Kluyveromyces lactis: one gene and its partners. The protein of the gene in region 3 interacts with the protein of the main gene of each other region in a biochemical or structural test. Links are inferred from orthologs where the notes say so. Each region holds a gene or a part of one and is shown on either strand. Other genes may lie near its edges.

Region 1 (5,836 bases), on a different chromosome or scaffold from region 3:
CTTCCAAACAAATACCCTCATAAACCCAACATTGCGGCCGCAGTTACTTTCCAATGCATCAGATACGCTCATCACAAAAGGCATAATAGAACCATGATTGAATCTATCCATAACTCATGTCTTCAAAAGTTATTAGCGGCAGATCCGAACCAGGACATCCTAAAGCAATCTTATACGTTGGGATATCTCAACCTATTGTATTATTACATGTATCGTGACGAAATGGTCTTCCCTGCATACCCCCATTTATTACAGGATATTATAGACTCCATTCTACTGTTAATAAAAAATCTATCGGCATCCATCAATTCAAGACTAGAACCATTATTACATCCTGGAATCCTTGAATATACAACGATCTCTGATGTTAAGGAAACGTTGTACAAAAATGACTGGAACTTTTTCAAGAAGCGGAAGCTCAAGCGTATGAAACATGATTCATATGACGACATTCTTCAGCTTTTGTATCCTCCCTCAGTAAAGGAACAAATGAAACCTTCTCCTCTTAAAATCGTTCAGATTTTTGGTGCCTTGACATATGTTTTCGACTTGCATGACATTCATCCAGTTCTTTTGCAACAGTGCTTGTCTATATCATCTAAGTGGTTGGCTAATACAATTTTCAACGAGATTATACAATCTAAGCAACTCTCTTCAAGAGCACACGCGATGCAAATAAGATTGAATCTCTCGATCTTACAAGATTGGGTGAAAAACCATAACTTTTCTGTCCAGAAGCCCGATCTAATGGATGACTTCATGTGGCAAAGGTTCCCACTGACTATAGTTCAAGATGTTGGATCCATTGATCTGAAGAAGCCTTCTCAACCTCTTGAAAACGTTTATTTCTATAAACCGATCAAAAAGGAACCTTGTACGGACGAATCAAACTCATTATTCTTTTACCAATCTTTTGCACATATCTGGCAATTTCATTTGGAACCAGTTTATCAACTATTACAATGGTTACAAGTTGCCACTTCCTTGGATCCGAATGAAGATGTTCTGAATGGTACTATTGATAGGTTAAGCCGATTAAACGTTACACAGTTGTATAAATCGTTGGATCGTTACAGATATGAACTCAATGAAGGAAAAACCAGCATGAAGAAACTTTTGAAGCAAAAGGTGAAAGCTATCAAAGATCAACAACCCGTTTTACTTGACATCGAATTTTCTGTTAAGCTAACTCTACCTACCCTTCAAGAGCTATACTTTTTATATGATGAATGCGAGTCCAGTTATAGATTTTTGCCGATTTTACCAATTGCGATACAAGATGAAATAGACGAAATTCATGACCAGATCAAAATTGATAATCAGTTTGAGGTGTCATCTAATGCCTTTGAAGACATGGACGAACCAAAACCCGCTGCACATGCAGTTTGGACCTCTAATGAAATGAAACTTACAGAAAATCCTTGGTGAACATTAAGTAAATAATTTATTGATATGCGGATTTAAACTAAATGGTTAAAGTTTGCTTCGATTTTTATAAATGCCTTGTTTATAGAGGAATCGAATATATGCATCCATTGGGATTATGCAATTTGGAAATATTAGTCCTAACTCTGACATGATATTCTTCTGTTAGTGATTTTTTCCGTTGTTCTTGATCTTTAGTTAGATTAGATGAATCATGTCTATTTTGTATCTCATGCAGGTCTTTTACACTATCCCATTCATTTGTTCTACCTGACATGAAATTGGTATGATTGATTGAGTCTTCAAAATACTTGTCTTCTATTTCTGAGGAGTCATTCTGAGGACCGAATCGTGCGAAGGCTTTAGTCAGGTTCTGAGTATCTATATCAGCATTTTCTTTCGATCCAGTTCTGGGTACTCTTTCTCCTTCGGATTTTGGTATTTCCGAACTTGACACAAGGTATACAAATGATGATACAGACCATTCGTACCAAACTCTGCTATTTAAGTCATTTCTAGTAATGAATACTTCAAGTTCAGTGTCATCATTTAAGAACAAGGGTTCCTTCAAGGGGAAAAACATTGGTGACCATGATTTCATATTTTCCGTATGATTCACTTTAGTGGCAGTTGATCCGTTATGGCTTCTGGAGTTATCTATGTTAGAATTTTCCTGATCTTCTAAAGTTTTAATGACAGAGTCATTTGGAACTATGCTCAAGGTTATATCTCCGTATAATGTTGCAATAAAGTATCCAGCAATACCATGAATTTCACTTTTATGCTTTACTCGAAAGTGGGATATTGAACTTTTGTTAAATTGATGCTGTTGTTGATGCAAATGTGAGAATGACCATATTTCATTTACTCTGGATGATGTACGGCAATATGGAACATTGTGAATTATTGAAGGTTTTTCGAGATATTCTGGTCCTTTTTCAATGAGGCTTTGGTATAAAATTGGAGATGATATAGGAGACGCATAGGAACTATATCCTTGAGGAATAAACCTTGTGTTAGGTTTTGAATGGAAAGCTTCTATTGGAGCAATACATTCGGGAGATAACTCGTTACAGCCGAAAGACCCCAAAAGTTCACTGATGCAGAGATCGACTTTAATATTTTCATCCCATTCTCGGATGTCAGTACGGATAACTTCAACTTTGTTGTCCCAGTGTTCAAAGTTGCGTTTCTGTAAATAGAGAAGTGCTTGTGGGTTTTTTTCGATAGCCAATAGCCTGAAGTTGGTTACTCCAAGTTTATGTAACACTTGGAATGTCTTATCCACCAATGGACCCCTGCCTGCACCTGCAACTAATGTGATAAGTTCTGTAGGGCCTCTCCAACTGGACGAATTTTCTGTCAAAATTTCAGATACAGCGACCATGATAGCCCTCTCGTATAATTCGTACTTGACAGTATCCTTTTCGAAAACTTGGTAAACTGCATTCGAAAGATTATCATGATGGGGTAGTAGCGGAGGCATGATTGTAGGTGCACTGTGGACAACATCTTGGGTCTCCATTAGTATGAGCTTATCTCCCTTTTTCAATAAATAATTGAGGTATTCTAGGTACTGTGTAGGTTCAATTTTGAGTTTATCCGTGTATTTCTCCATACCATGTAAAACGATAGCTAGTTCGCCAAATGTTGATGCGTTACCGTTAACACGTTGGAACTCAGTGATTAAATGCTGATTAAATTTATTCAATACAGGGTAATTGTATTGATTTGTTGTGAATATGGATGCAGAGATCAAAAGACATGTGACAGGTTCGCTCAGCCATCTGTTTAGCACAAAACTGGGAGTCTTCTGTCTAGGTAGAGCTAGAGATACAGTCAATTTAGGCTCGTATCCGCACATTTTCCTGATCGTGTTCCACAGTTCCCAAGTCGAAAGTGGATCTGAATCTTCAAACAAAGGTAACGAAATAGATATTGTCGGACACGCTTCTTTAAAAGTATCAAATACTGTACACAAAGATTGTGCGTAGTAATGAAGCGTGTGTAACTTTTTAGGAGGAGCTAAGATAACCTGTCTGATTCCAACGAAATTTGCATAATGCAATTCGTGCTCCAACACTTGCAAAGATAAAGTCCGGACATCAGCATCATGGCTCTCGAGCTCTAAAAAGTAAGAGACCAATCCAATATATGAAACATTTCCATTAGATGGCAATACCCCCAGCTCTTGCAATTGAGGAGGATCTAACTTTAGTTCTTCATTCCATCCATGACCGTGATCTCGAAAATCTTCAAACTTGGCCTTCATGGCATCCTTGTATCTGGTATTTGTCAAGGGCAGCAGCACATAGTCATAATTCTCTACTCTTTTATCTGTAGAAGAAGTTCCAAGAACATCAGCGGAATGTTCACTGTGAGGTTTGATCCCGACGAAAACATTACTTCGACTTGCCATTTCAGCACATACAAACACACAAACGCAGCACGCAGAACAGTTTCACAACAACAGTCAAACGTTTATTGGTAAACCCTTCTTCAGCTATACCGTAATTATGGTAGACACTACACCAGTGATAGCTCTGTGTCCTATTCTTTTACCTCATCTCTGACCATCAATAGTGACGGATCTGGTTTCTGTCCTAAACAATATTTATTTTCATTTTTTTTTTGTAAACAATACTATTTTAATACCTAAGATCTTTTCAGTTATGCTAAAGACATGATATGTGATGAGCGAATAAGATCCAGCATCAGTAGTCTAGGGTTAATTAACACTCCAATTGTATAGCTTAAGTTGTGATCGAATCTAACAATGTATTCGACGCACGCTTTCCAAGGCAGAAAGCTTTCTGATCAGGAAAGAACGAGAGTTCTCGAATTTCAAGATAGCATTCATTATTCACCAAGATACTCCGACGATACACACGAATACAGACATGTAATGCTTCCCAAGGCCATGCTAAAAGTGATACCTTCTGATTATTTCAACGGAGACACTGGTACTTTGCGAATCTTAACAGAAGACGAATGGAGAGGGTTAGGAATTACACAATCTCTGGGATGGGAACATTACGAATGCCATGCGCCTGAACCACATATTTTACTATTTAAGAGACCACTGAATTACGAGGCTGAAATACGTGCGGCGCATGCTGCCGCACAGCAGCAGCAAAAATCAATTGCTGCAGGCCAACAAAGTCAAAATATATGAACTACCCACTAAAGACTTTAAAATGAAATAATAAGAAAATCGTATTCCAGTTTTACGCGTTACACTGTTAATAAGAGAGAATAATGTTTCCCCAAAGATCTGCAATTCCTGGCTGCACACTTTGTGTAAGTTAGTCTTCTGTTGTCAAACTTGCAAATGGCTTAAGACGCCTGAATTGTACTTCTGGAGAAGTGTTTAGCATATGTACATACCACATTTATGTATGTGTTGAGATTCCTTATTGATACCAAAATTTGTATATAAGTCAAATTATAAATAATGAAACTAACCAAAAACAAACGCTGGACTATGAAAGAAACACAGTTTTCTCTCGTTAGGGCGTCCTAGGTGAGTGTGATTGAGAGTGCAGTTGCCGTGTAAGAGTAATATCTTCTCAGCGTATAGGAAATGGATAATCCTAGGGTAAAATATCTGGAAGAACTGATACTGGCGTTAAAATCAGCAGGAACTGTAGGAAATGGTATAGAGTTAGATAGCACTTTGCAATTAGATGAAAAGAATGGGAAATTACTACAGACATTGTTGAAGAATACGCAATCTACGAATACGGATGAGGTGATCTTTCACAAATCCTTTCAAGCACTTGATTTATTTCTGCGATGCAACCAACACCTTTTCTCAGCCAATGTTAAAGAGATTACTATGATCGAGGTTATTTTAAACAATATGGTTAGTTGTTCGCTAATGCATTGGTCCAATATGCAATATATTTGGCTTATAAACAAATACGTGAGTGCATGGTTAAAAGCGTACTCTTTTGCATCGACCTCCAATTTACAGATTTGGTTCACTGAACAAATGGTTCAGTATGAAAAGTTACTAGTAACATGTCTGAGAGGTAAGCTAGAGAAGCCGACGTTTCATTCCCTCTTGAAAAAAATAGTGATAGTGAACGGTTGGATTATGAGGGATGGACTACTTCGAAATTACAGCTATAGAAGATGGCAAAGTCAGTTTCAGAAATTGATGCGATTGCTAGCCTTTGTTTTGAAATCAACTAACGAACCAAGTGTCGAAGTTGCGAGCATCTTGCAATTACTTGTTCGTTACATCTCTTTATCTAAAGAGTCATTGTCAATATTCAGATTCTCGTTTGACCTCATACAAACTTTAATTAAAGATCATCATCAGCATATCTCTCCGACCATTTTAGCCAAGACTTTGTTACGGACTTTGTACCTTTGTATCCATGACGAATCAAAGTTGGCAGAGATC
Region 2 (4,592 bases), on a different chromosome or scaffold from region 3:
AAAATTTTTGTGACACTTTATAAACTCTTCTATCTATAATAGCTAACACATATAGAATTAACGATTGCACAATCCCCTTTACAACATATAACTCCACGCAAAGTATGACAAGGACTTTAGAACTACTACAGGAGTTAACCAATTTGATCAGACTGGAGACAAATGATGGCTCTATTGATTCCGAAGTCTTTCAAAATGACAATGAACTACTAAACTGGGACCAAATATTACAGCAATTAATTGATCTGATGAAACATGACTATTTATCAAGAAAAAACATGATGATTCAACTCAAAGCCAAAGAGTTGAATATAAAGGAGTTGAATATCGAAGTGGCTAATTTAAAGAAGTCTTTGAAAGAATTTGGGCACTTAAAATACCATTTACATAAACAGCTTGAGCTGAACGACAAATTACAACAACAAGTGGAACAATACAGGAATGAATTCAGAGAATTGGAATCCGAAATAAAAGGGATTAGGGGGAGTATGCCAGATAAGAACATTCGTCGTTGATAGAAGCCCTTTTTTACAAATTTTGGATAAGGTGCTGTGACTTTACAAGTTCTTACTCAGGCAGTTTTTAAAGGGGAACAAGCAAGATATTGCAAAATACGTGTGAAATATAAAATTCAACGTGAACCCTGAGCTGTGGACTAATACCAAGGGGTAAGAATAACATTACAAAAGCGGTATATTTTCTGTCAGGGATAAACATGACGGTATACCATGATGTATATATTTTGTTTTGATCGTGGGCCTATCAATAAATATATATATATATATGATAACTGAATCAATAGGAAAGTCACCAGAGGTAAGTTCTTAATGATATAATTGACGGTTGTAGCTAATGAAAGAAGTTTGAAAGAGCTTTATGTATATTTTCTATGTTGAAGAAAATTCGAAATTATTATAGTGATCTTGTAAAGATGTTAGATTGAAATGTGTTGTTTAGTGATTTATCATCAGTCCGAACAAGTTTACGAGATTGATGCATGATTAAACGGGAAAGAAAAGAAATGAAGGATGCATAGTTGTCAAGACAATTCACATAATTAGAACTCATTTCCAAGGAACTTTCTAAAGTTCGAATTCATACCATTTGAAAATCTTTCAGGCATTTCCTCCTTTGTCTTTCTTACAACCCCCTTATATCTCATATCCTGATGGAGGTCCAAAACCAGAAAAAACATTCCATAGATATTGCACACAGCACCGGCTAGGGTTACTGTCATCGAAAAGTGTTATTAAGTTATTAGTTACTTGATGCATCGTTAGTTGTTCACTTTCCAATATAATATCTGAGGGGCTGAAATGTAGATTCAGCGTTATGGTGAATTGAAAAAGGACAGTTTCCAGTTTTATGTTTGGTTATGACAATCATCATTTAGAGGTGCGAATGCTCCAAACAAAATCAATAAAGACGTTGAAGTTGTTACAGGTTCATGAATTTATACTGGAGGTCAAAATAGTATATCACTACAGTAGTAACCAAACTTCAACGTGTGTTTATAATTGTATATTGAAGTAGAAAGACAAGACAGTAGTGAGGAAAGAAATGTGAATGAATGTGATACGCTGAGAAGCACTGCTTCTGAGGGAATAAAAAAGTTGTAAGGGATTCATATCATTTCATTTCTGCATCTTCTAACTCCTCGCTTTCTTCCATTAATTTACTTCTTCTATCCATTACGCTTTCATCTAGAGAATCTTCTGCTTCTTCAGGCACCAGATCTTCATCTTCATCTGAGTCGATATCGTTTTTGTTAGCTTTTTTGCTGAAATTCAAGTTTGAAGAATCTTTGCTGAAAACATCGTCATTATCCTCTTCATCTTCTGAATCCTCGTATGCATAGATATCCACATCTTCATCACCTTCGTCACTGTCGTACCAGAAATTATCGGCAACGGTTTCTTTGATGGTGTCAATACCTTCATTTGCCTTTCTTTGGGAAACATACGCCTTTGTTGATTCTGGCATCACGAACCCTTGCGGGATATCCTGTTTTGATCTTTCCACTTCGAGTTTTACCTTTTGTTTGTACTGATCCGGATTCTTCTTGTAGTCAACAGCAGCGTCGACGTTAGCTGGAGAGGAAATATTTGGATCTTCTAACAAGGAGACAATAGAAATCAACACTGATTCCACAGTCTGTACTGGAGACCAAGTTTCTTCATCGGGCTCATCCGAGGTGGGGTTCCCCGATTGGTGTAAGATAGAAATACACAACCTACCATCACGGTAAACGTTCGGGTGGTAAATTGCTGGAGTAAATCTAAAAGTTGGAGGAGAAAATGGGAAATCGTCCGGGAATTTCATTTGAGCCTTGAAATAACCTCCGTGGTAGATGGATTCCTCATTTAAGACCATTACACCGATGTTCCACAAGAATATGTTTGAATCATCTTCTAATGCAATATGGAAACTAGGAATAGCCTTCTTCGGATCAGTGAGTTCCCTGTATTGTCGTAATAACAAAGAAGCTGCAGTATTCTTGCCGCTCATACTTTAGAAAGAGTATTTCTATGGTAAAAAGATGTTCTGTGTGCTGATTGAAACTTCCCCCTTTTTCCAAAACTGATATATCCAGACCAAGAAAGTTCAGTTATTAGGGCTGACGATTAGAAGTAACTGTTGCTTGGTGTTCCTCAGTGATAAGATATCTCCGAGTAAATTTGACAATAATATGTTGCTAGAACTTAACAAAAACGTTAGGAAGAGAAAGAAAAAAGTAATGAAACGTAAAGCCAAACAAAAGATAGGACAATACAATATACCAACTGAGTAGTGTGAGTTTTTGCGTTTGTACAAGTATACCCGCCCAAAAGTCTATGCAACCTCTCCTTATCACCTGTTTATTGATACTCTCATTTAAATGCAAATACAATAATTTGTAATTAAAATTAATAGTTGTCTGTGTTTTGACCTTTTAAATTTCTTCTGAAACTGGTTTACAAAAAAGAACCAAGCTGAATGCCGAAAAGTCAAGAAAAACCGTCCCAAGACAAAATAAGCAAAAACCGTTGGGTTGTGTACTCTTGGAAGATACCGTTCTATTGTTCAGGTTGGGGGTTTAATCGATATTTATACTATAGCTATATGTCTCTATATTTTTTACCGTCTTGTAAGCTTTTCGTCCCCAGGCATTATTCATGTTGATTTGCACAACCAGGTATGCGTTAATAATCCATGGATGAAAGTAACAGTATTTAAGGCATCAACATTTACGCATGAATGTTTATTTTCCAATTGATGGGGAATGCGGGGGCCAATTACATCAATTTTTTCGAATGTATCTAATGCATCCGGCAAAATATCACTTCTACCGCATCGTTGTGAGAGCGTGCATTTTAACTGATAAGCTGAACACTAGGATTAAATGTGAATCGGAGAACTCTGGTAGTCAGTTGTTACGTTCAAGATTCTTATTTATACTCTAGACTAGTTCTTCATCGGGCAGTAGTATATTCTGCTCGGCGTCAGCAAACGTTAGACTCGCCGCTTTCACCGATAGGAACAGTGGAAAAGTTCACGTGACCTTAGGTCACGTGAACACCAATCACCATCTCCTTCTTTTCTCATTCTCGTAAGGTTTTCCGAACTGAGCCATAGGGCAATAACGCTCATCAAGTCTGAATCGTACCATTTTGAACTATACAGCACTTCACCATAGCTCAACAGGCCTAATTCCCTTACATATTCACCTCAAGGTGGATGTTTTGCTGAGATCCTGCCGTCCTCACATTCGGAACGTTATAAGATTTGTATCTCGCGACGGCGTGTTGGAGTTGCAACTCGATGCTATATGTTTTCTCGTCTGCGCGCTTTTCTTTGTGTGCCGAAATTTGTTTTCGTCCAAAGTACTTTCTTTGACTTATTTTCCTTTAAATCAGAAGATTATTTCTTGTTTTTCTGTCTATTTACTATTTCAGATCCAGTATAAAATATAGGACAAATGCCTATAGTGATGAAGATAAATACAGGGCTTGGTATAAGAAATCTGCCGTTATTTTTCTTTCTCTGCGTTGGCCAACTTATCAAATCAGGTTCTTCAAATTGTGAAAATACCTGGTATCAGCTTACTGTGCGAAACTGTGTCATTGAGAACGTTTTATTGTTTGTGGGGTTCAAGTTTTCTCTAGCTGGATATAGCAATTTGAAATATCCATCTTAAAGCAACTAATAACAAATTTTGAACCCATCCATTGCGATATCATGAGTTATAAGGATCCGATACTCTCGCAGTTCAAAAATAAGGATACCATTGATGCGAAAGTTATTACGGAGTTGATCGAGGATGCGCGCGTTCAAAACACATCGGACCGTACTCAAATTATAAACGATGAACTGCATGAAAGAACCGTGGAAAAGTGTAAAGAATCACTATCTATTTATACAGATCTTGTCAAGTTGAGCTTCCTGTTGGCTAAGTCATGGGATTTAAAGACGTTGGAACAAACCGTGATGCTAAGGTTTGGATTGCAAGATATTATCGGTACGAGTGAATTGGCTAGTTCCGGGAATAAATCACAGGGAGAAGATTTCGATAGAGATATAGCCTTGAAGACAATATCAAAATGTGATAAATT
Region 3 (5,706 bases):
TATTTGTTAGTTCAGACATATACTTTTTGTTGTCTTAAAGAACCAAGGATAAGAATCAACAATGGCTGTATGTTAACAAGCGAAATAGTGCTGAAATGGTTAATAATGGGGCAACTTGGACTATTGTTTGATAATCAGAGAATGAATAAAGATATACCGTAATTATTGAAAGGAAAATAACGATAAACCGAGCAGATGAACTGTCTAAGGAATGAAATGAAACGAAACAAACTTTGATGATATGGATGAGGGCATAAGTTTTTGGAATTTAAGGACTAATAATAGATGTAAAATGGAATAATTTTCTCTAATCGGTCGGTTAAATGATGGAATTTACCTGATTGTATTAAGCTTAACCTACCGAGTGGACATTCTATTGAAGGGACAACGAAGAAATTATATCAATCTTTAGATGAGGATAAACTCAGGAAATCAATGAGATGATCGGCCCTTTTTAGCGACTCTGAAAAACAAGAAACACGCCTCACATTCTGTCTCCAGATGAGCTGTAGTTCAGTAATGGCGTGATGGATATCAAGGTACCAGCCACCCCGTACGTTTCAAAAATCACAATTTTACTAACAATTTTCTATCATTTCGTGTGATATTCTTTTAAACAGGCTAAGAAGTCTTTCATCATCAAGCAGAAGTTGGCTAAGGCCAAGAACCAAAACAGACCATTGCCACAATGGTACAGATTGAAGACCAACAACAAGATCCGTTACAACGCTAAGAGAAGACACTGGAGAAGAACAAAGTTGGGTTTGTAAACTTTTTGTACATATCGGAAGAACGCACAACAATTTTTCTTATTATGTCAATTTTCTCTACAGTTTGCAAAGTATACTCTACTTATGTATAGATAGGGTCAGTTTAATAAATTCAACATCGTTTTACGGTTTTTAATTAAAACTATGTATTACTCAAAGATATTATCTTTATGTTAACCTCTTTTTTAATCTAAAAATTCATACTCTGCCAAGTATTACCGAATTGCTTCGCGTTGGAATATCAACAAGGTACGGTATGCAAAGATAAATGGATGAGGCTACATAGATAATTCAAGTTTTGGAAAAATATCAGAGGTATTAAAAATGTTCAAATACACTAAAATCATTATAATTTCAGATACTATCTAGCTTAAAGAGTGTTTGATAACTCATCATATTATTGATCCAAAACGCGAGTTCATTATATAAGAATTGTGGGTGTTAACCTATAAGTATGCACAAGTACGTGCATCCTCTAACGTGACCTCACGTCGTTATCCCCACCTGGTGTTCGTTTTTGTTCAAACGTTGCACACCACTGCATCTCTCTCGTTGTAATTTCTCATAAAGTCTCTGAATATCTGTTTAATATACATGTTCCTCATGTATATTTTTTATGTCAAAAAATTAAAAAACCAGTAAAAGTAAAAGGAAAATGAACGGAGCTGTTATTATGTCAGTATTAGGGCATTATAGAGAAAGAACAGACGTAAACTGGTTTATGTAAAGCTGGTTTATGTAAAGCTGAATATCATAACATGTTCTATATTTTCTTGAAGTGAATTAGGAGAAGAATTCTGGTTTTGGGCCGTAGTCATCCTCATGAATAACTGCACCTGTCTTTCTTGTTAGTTCTACATATTCTAATTCCTCGGTGCGGAGTAAATCAGATGCAGATGGACGATCTCTGTAATCCGGTTCGATCATCCATCTGATAGTCCTTTCCAGCGATATTCCGTCTAATAAAAACTTCGGTACCCACGCTGGAATTTTTGTCTCATGCGTTGTGATGTCAGTGATATTCGTATGATCTTTTTTATTGGAAAAGAGTGAGCTCGAATGGATCTCCGCACTACTTAATCTGCCAGCATCAGATAGATCACCAGACCTCAATTTATGCCATGCACTTCCGTTATCAGGCAAAATAACGTTAGCAGCGATTTCAATCATCATTAGCCCAAGGGAGAAGATGTCAGCACGGAAATCGTATATTCCGTCACGTATAATTTCCGGGGCAATATATTCACGGTCACCCTCGTTTTCAAAACTTTTATCTTCTATTGGCAACTTTGTAGCCATCCCAAAATCAGCAAGTTTCAAATTACCTTCGAAAGTTATGAGAACATTAGCTGGCTTCAAATCTAAATGAACAATTGAACAGGAATCATGGATGAATCTCAAAGCTAGACAGATTTCAACGATAATCTTCCATATCCTCCAATCTTCCAATCGTTGTTGTTTAGCAATGACGTGCTCTTGTATAAAAGCATCTAAATTTCCATTTTCGCAGAATTCTGTCATTATATAAAATGAACCTTTATGTGACCACGAAGAAATAAATTCTACGATATATTCCTTACCTTCTGTGTCATTTGTAACTGAATCCTGAATTGTTGACAACATATTGATTTCTTGTAGAATTCGATTGGTAAAATTATGTTTAGTTGGTCGTACACTTTTGATGGCGTATTTTAAACCAGTTTCTGGGAAAGTCACTTGGTAGACAGTAGAAAACTGACCTTTTCCCATTATGGATACATTACTGAATTTGGTCGTTAGATGGAAATCAGGGTTTTTCATGATACTTGCATTGATTGATCTTTGCTTCTCAGGTGGTTGAAGATGTGTTGGATCGTTTCGCAGTTTTGTCATGATAGCCAGAGAATCAGGACCAATATCAAAGGATGTTTTCGTTGGAGTTTGAAGATTTGTCTTTGAGGGTGACGGTGAAAAGATTGAACTTTCTTGATCGTGTCCGTACAAATCGTCCGTGATTTGTCTCAACATTGAGGTCAATTCTGTGTTCTTTACAATTTTAGTTCTCTTTTTAGATCTTGGATTAGAGGAACTGGTAGGAGAGTTTTCTGATGAAGGTAACACGGTATTTATCATCGGGGGAGATTTGAAAAGTTGGGAATCATACATCGTAGGAAATGTCGTCTGATTTTGTGCTGACATGATAGATGAATGCTCTAATATTGGTGTGTCCAAAAGTTCTTGGTCAGAATGTCTCGAAACCAGCGGAGACTTCTTCACAGGCGTATCTGGTATTGTCAACTTCTTGGGTAGAATTGTTTGTTTCATTTTGGAAATAAGGCCAGATGACTGAAAAGCTACAGGATCCGGTTTTGCTTCTGTAAACGAATTATTACTTTTTCCTGTAGTCTTAGTGGAGGACAAATCACTAGATGTTGCAGCATTCGTACTATGCCAACTCTTTAAATATGCAGCATTGTTCTTGGAAAATGGAGAGGATATATTGAATCCAGTCTTGCTCACAGTTCTCTTTAAACTATTAGATGCTGAATTGGAGGCACTTGTAGTGATGAGGGGCCTTTGAAGCTGTGGTACTCTGCTGTCGATATGGGACTGATTTTCCTCATTAAACTTTTGATCTTTCACATCAGGCGTTTCAGTCTCCAATGAAAGATTGAGAACACCAACACTTCTCGTAAGACCCAACGGAGTGTCATTAGAATTAGATCTTGAACTCAGAGGTTCCGAGTAAAACTTGAGATTATTGGAATTGTTACTGAAGTGCGAAAGCTGGTCATAGTAATGAAACTCAACGTCCAGGTCCATATCCGTATCAAGATCGACATCACTTTGGTATGCATGGTCAGTCTCTTCTTCATTTATGTCTTGGTAAACTTCTACCCGAGGTGAAAGTGCAGTGTTGACAGTTACGCGCCCAAAGTTTGGCTGCAGTGAGTTTTTCCGTTTCGATGGCATTGTTTATGTCGTGCTTTTGATGATCCCCTTCGATGAGTACTTTATTCTTCAGTGATTACTTTTTGTCACACCGTCGAGTAACTATTTACTGAAACAAAAACACCCAAATTATGGCCCCTTGGCGGGTGGGTTCTCGTTGTCCTTGTTCTGAACTGTCAAAACAGAACCTGGTACAGAATTAACAGACAACCAGGAAAGCTGTCTTAAAACAACAAACAATAGACTTTTGTCAACTATTGGAAGGATCCAATAGAACGAATCTAGTTGATGGTAGAACTGTGATGGTTAAAGTGTTGAGGTTGGTTCCTCTAGATCTCTTTTTTTTTGTTTTCACCTGTGTGTTTACTTCATCGATTTTTGATCTTCTCAACACGTCGTTCTGTTTCTATGTTTTTCGTTTTTTTTCGCGTGTTGATGATTTTCGTGGCAATCGTTAGGCAACTGCAAAGACGGGCCATTCCCTAACATAACACACTTGGCAAGAATGAGCCTGGCAGGACTATTATATGAGTGGAAGGGCAGAATTTCTATGTTTCAGTGGGGATCACTGTTTCTATCGAATGTGCGTCTGTTCAGAAACTTGCATATCGTCGTGTTTTTTCTTATCCGATTTGAATAAATAGACAGTTATGATAGTTCACAACGTATATAAGAACTAACATAAATAATAAATAGCAGGCACTTTATGATATGACGGCCTGATGCTGCAGTGTTTTGTGTGTGTTTATGTGTGTGTTTTGCTTGATTCTTGGAGTAGAAACTTATAAGTCTTGGGCATCAAGGGTCTTGAATTTTATAGGTTTGTTTTCTTGAGGGAAATCAATACCGTTTTCAAGTAATACTACAAAGGCCTTGGTGAATTCTTTAAAGAATGTGTCTTGGTCGTTTGCAAATTCTTTCACGATAGGCAAGTATTTCGGATCCTGTACCAAGGCCATATCTGTTGGTAACATCATCCAGCCCTTATCGTTGACGTATTGTTTGTTACCGGCATCGTTAGTGATGAGGTCCCATTTTTCGTTTAGCAGGTTGTTGTAGAATTCATTGGTGAAGATATTGGTGGCAGCACCCCATGGGCCTTCGAAGCCAGAGTTCTTCAAATGTGTCTTACCCAAAGCATGCGCACCCAACAATGCAACTACTTGTCTATCTTCGAAGTTTAGTCTGTGGAAGAAGCATCTCACGTATTTCGCATCTTTAGAAGCATCAGGTAATCTACCGTTTTCTGGAGTAGTATCCTCAGGTTGGTCCACACGACCAGATCTCCAAGGAATTGTGGGACCTTGCATCTCTTGAATCGCCGTAACGCCAGCCAAACTATATAAATCACCATGAGATAACCAAGGGTACTTCTCGTGGATTGGTTCCAAGAACTTCGCAGCGTTTTGCAACCCATTGTTGGACGGATCGTTGGTCTCCATCGCGAATCTGTAAGTACCACCGTAAGGACCACCGGTGTTATCCTTTGCATCCCAAGTACCAGCACAGTGCCATGCTAAACGTACTAACACAGGTCCGTAACCGATAAAGTCGTCGTATTCGTCTTCGTCCCTTATCTTGAGCGCAATATCGTTGTAAACTTTTTGATACTTGGCAACGTCGTATTTCTCCTTTGCTGCGACATGAGCAGCTGCTAACGCAGCCAATTTTTGTTTGTTATAATTACGATTGTTGTAATTCCTCATATCTTGATATTCCATCACTGTACCAGTGGCAGAACCGGCAAGAGCACCGGCACCGACTATAAATGACAACGTCTTGACGTTGACACGTCTGAACACATTACCGAAAGTTGTTGACATTCTCTAAAACAGCCTTAGCTTGTTGATGGTCTACCTACTTTAAGTCTACTTGTAAGAATAAATCCAACATCATGGCAATCAATAACCCTTTGAGACCTTTATCGTCTGTTGCTGCCTTATATACGTTTTAAATAATGACGTTCCTCGAGAAAAATTCCTTTACTCATCATGCATACAAATAG

Evidence for each region.
Region 1: the proteins of SWE1 (region 3) and HSL7 form a complex in vitro, tested with the Saccharomyces cerevisiae proteins (2 studies listed by BioGRID). The link is inferred for Kluyveromyces lactis from reciprocal best matches to the Saccharomyces cerevisiae genes SWE1 and HSL7.
Region 2: of the proteins of SWE1 (region 3) and CDC34, one has a biochemical effect on the other in vitro, tested with the Saccharomyces cerevisiae proteins (2 studies listed by BioGRID). The link is inferred for Kluyveromyces lactis from reciprocal best matches to the Saccharomyces cerevisiae genes SWE1 and CDC34.

The regions. Positions count from the first base shown.
Region 1 is NC_006039.1:1,373,916-1,379,751, reverse strand, and holds HSL7 (protein arginine N-methyltransferase), read right to left. Parts: upstream 3,845-5,836; coding exon 1,508-3,844; downstream 1-1,507. Other genes in the region: KLLA0_C15851g (uncharacterized protein), read left to right, coding at 1-1,428; cyclin-dependent protein kinase regulatory subunit CKS1, read left to right, coding at 4,202-4,600; protein kinase MEC1, read left to right, coding at 5,009-5,836.
Region 2 is NC_006040.1:770,711-775,302, reverse strand, and holds CDC34 (SCF E2 ubiquitin-protein ligase catalytic subunit CDC34), read right to left. Parts: upstream 2,509-4,592; coding exon 1,630-2,508; downstream 1-1,629. Other genes in the region: KLLA0_D09218g (uncharacterized protein), read left to right, coding at 105-515; MDM36 (Mdm36p), read left to right, coding at 4,219-4,592. UniProt on the Saccharomyces cerevisiae protein: Catalyzes the covalent attachment of ubiquitin to other proteins. Capable, in vitro, to ubiquitinate histone H2A. Mediates the initiation of DNA replication (transition of G1 to S phase in cell cycle).
Region 3 is NC_006038.1:657,607-663,312, reverse strand, and holds SWE1 (tyrosine protein kinase SWE1), read right to left. Parts: upstream 3,723-5,706; coding exon 1,554-3,722; downstream 1-1,553. Other genes in the region: CCP1 (cytochrome-c peroxidase), read right to left, coding at 4,484-5,524. UniProt on the Saccharomyces cerevisiae protein: Protein kinase that acts as a negative regulator of entry into mitosis (G2 to M transition) by phosphorylating and inhibiting the mitosis-promoting cyclin B-bound CDC28 at 'Tyr-19'.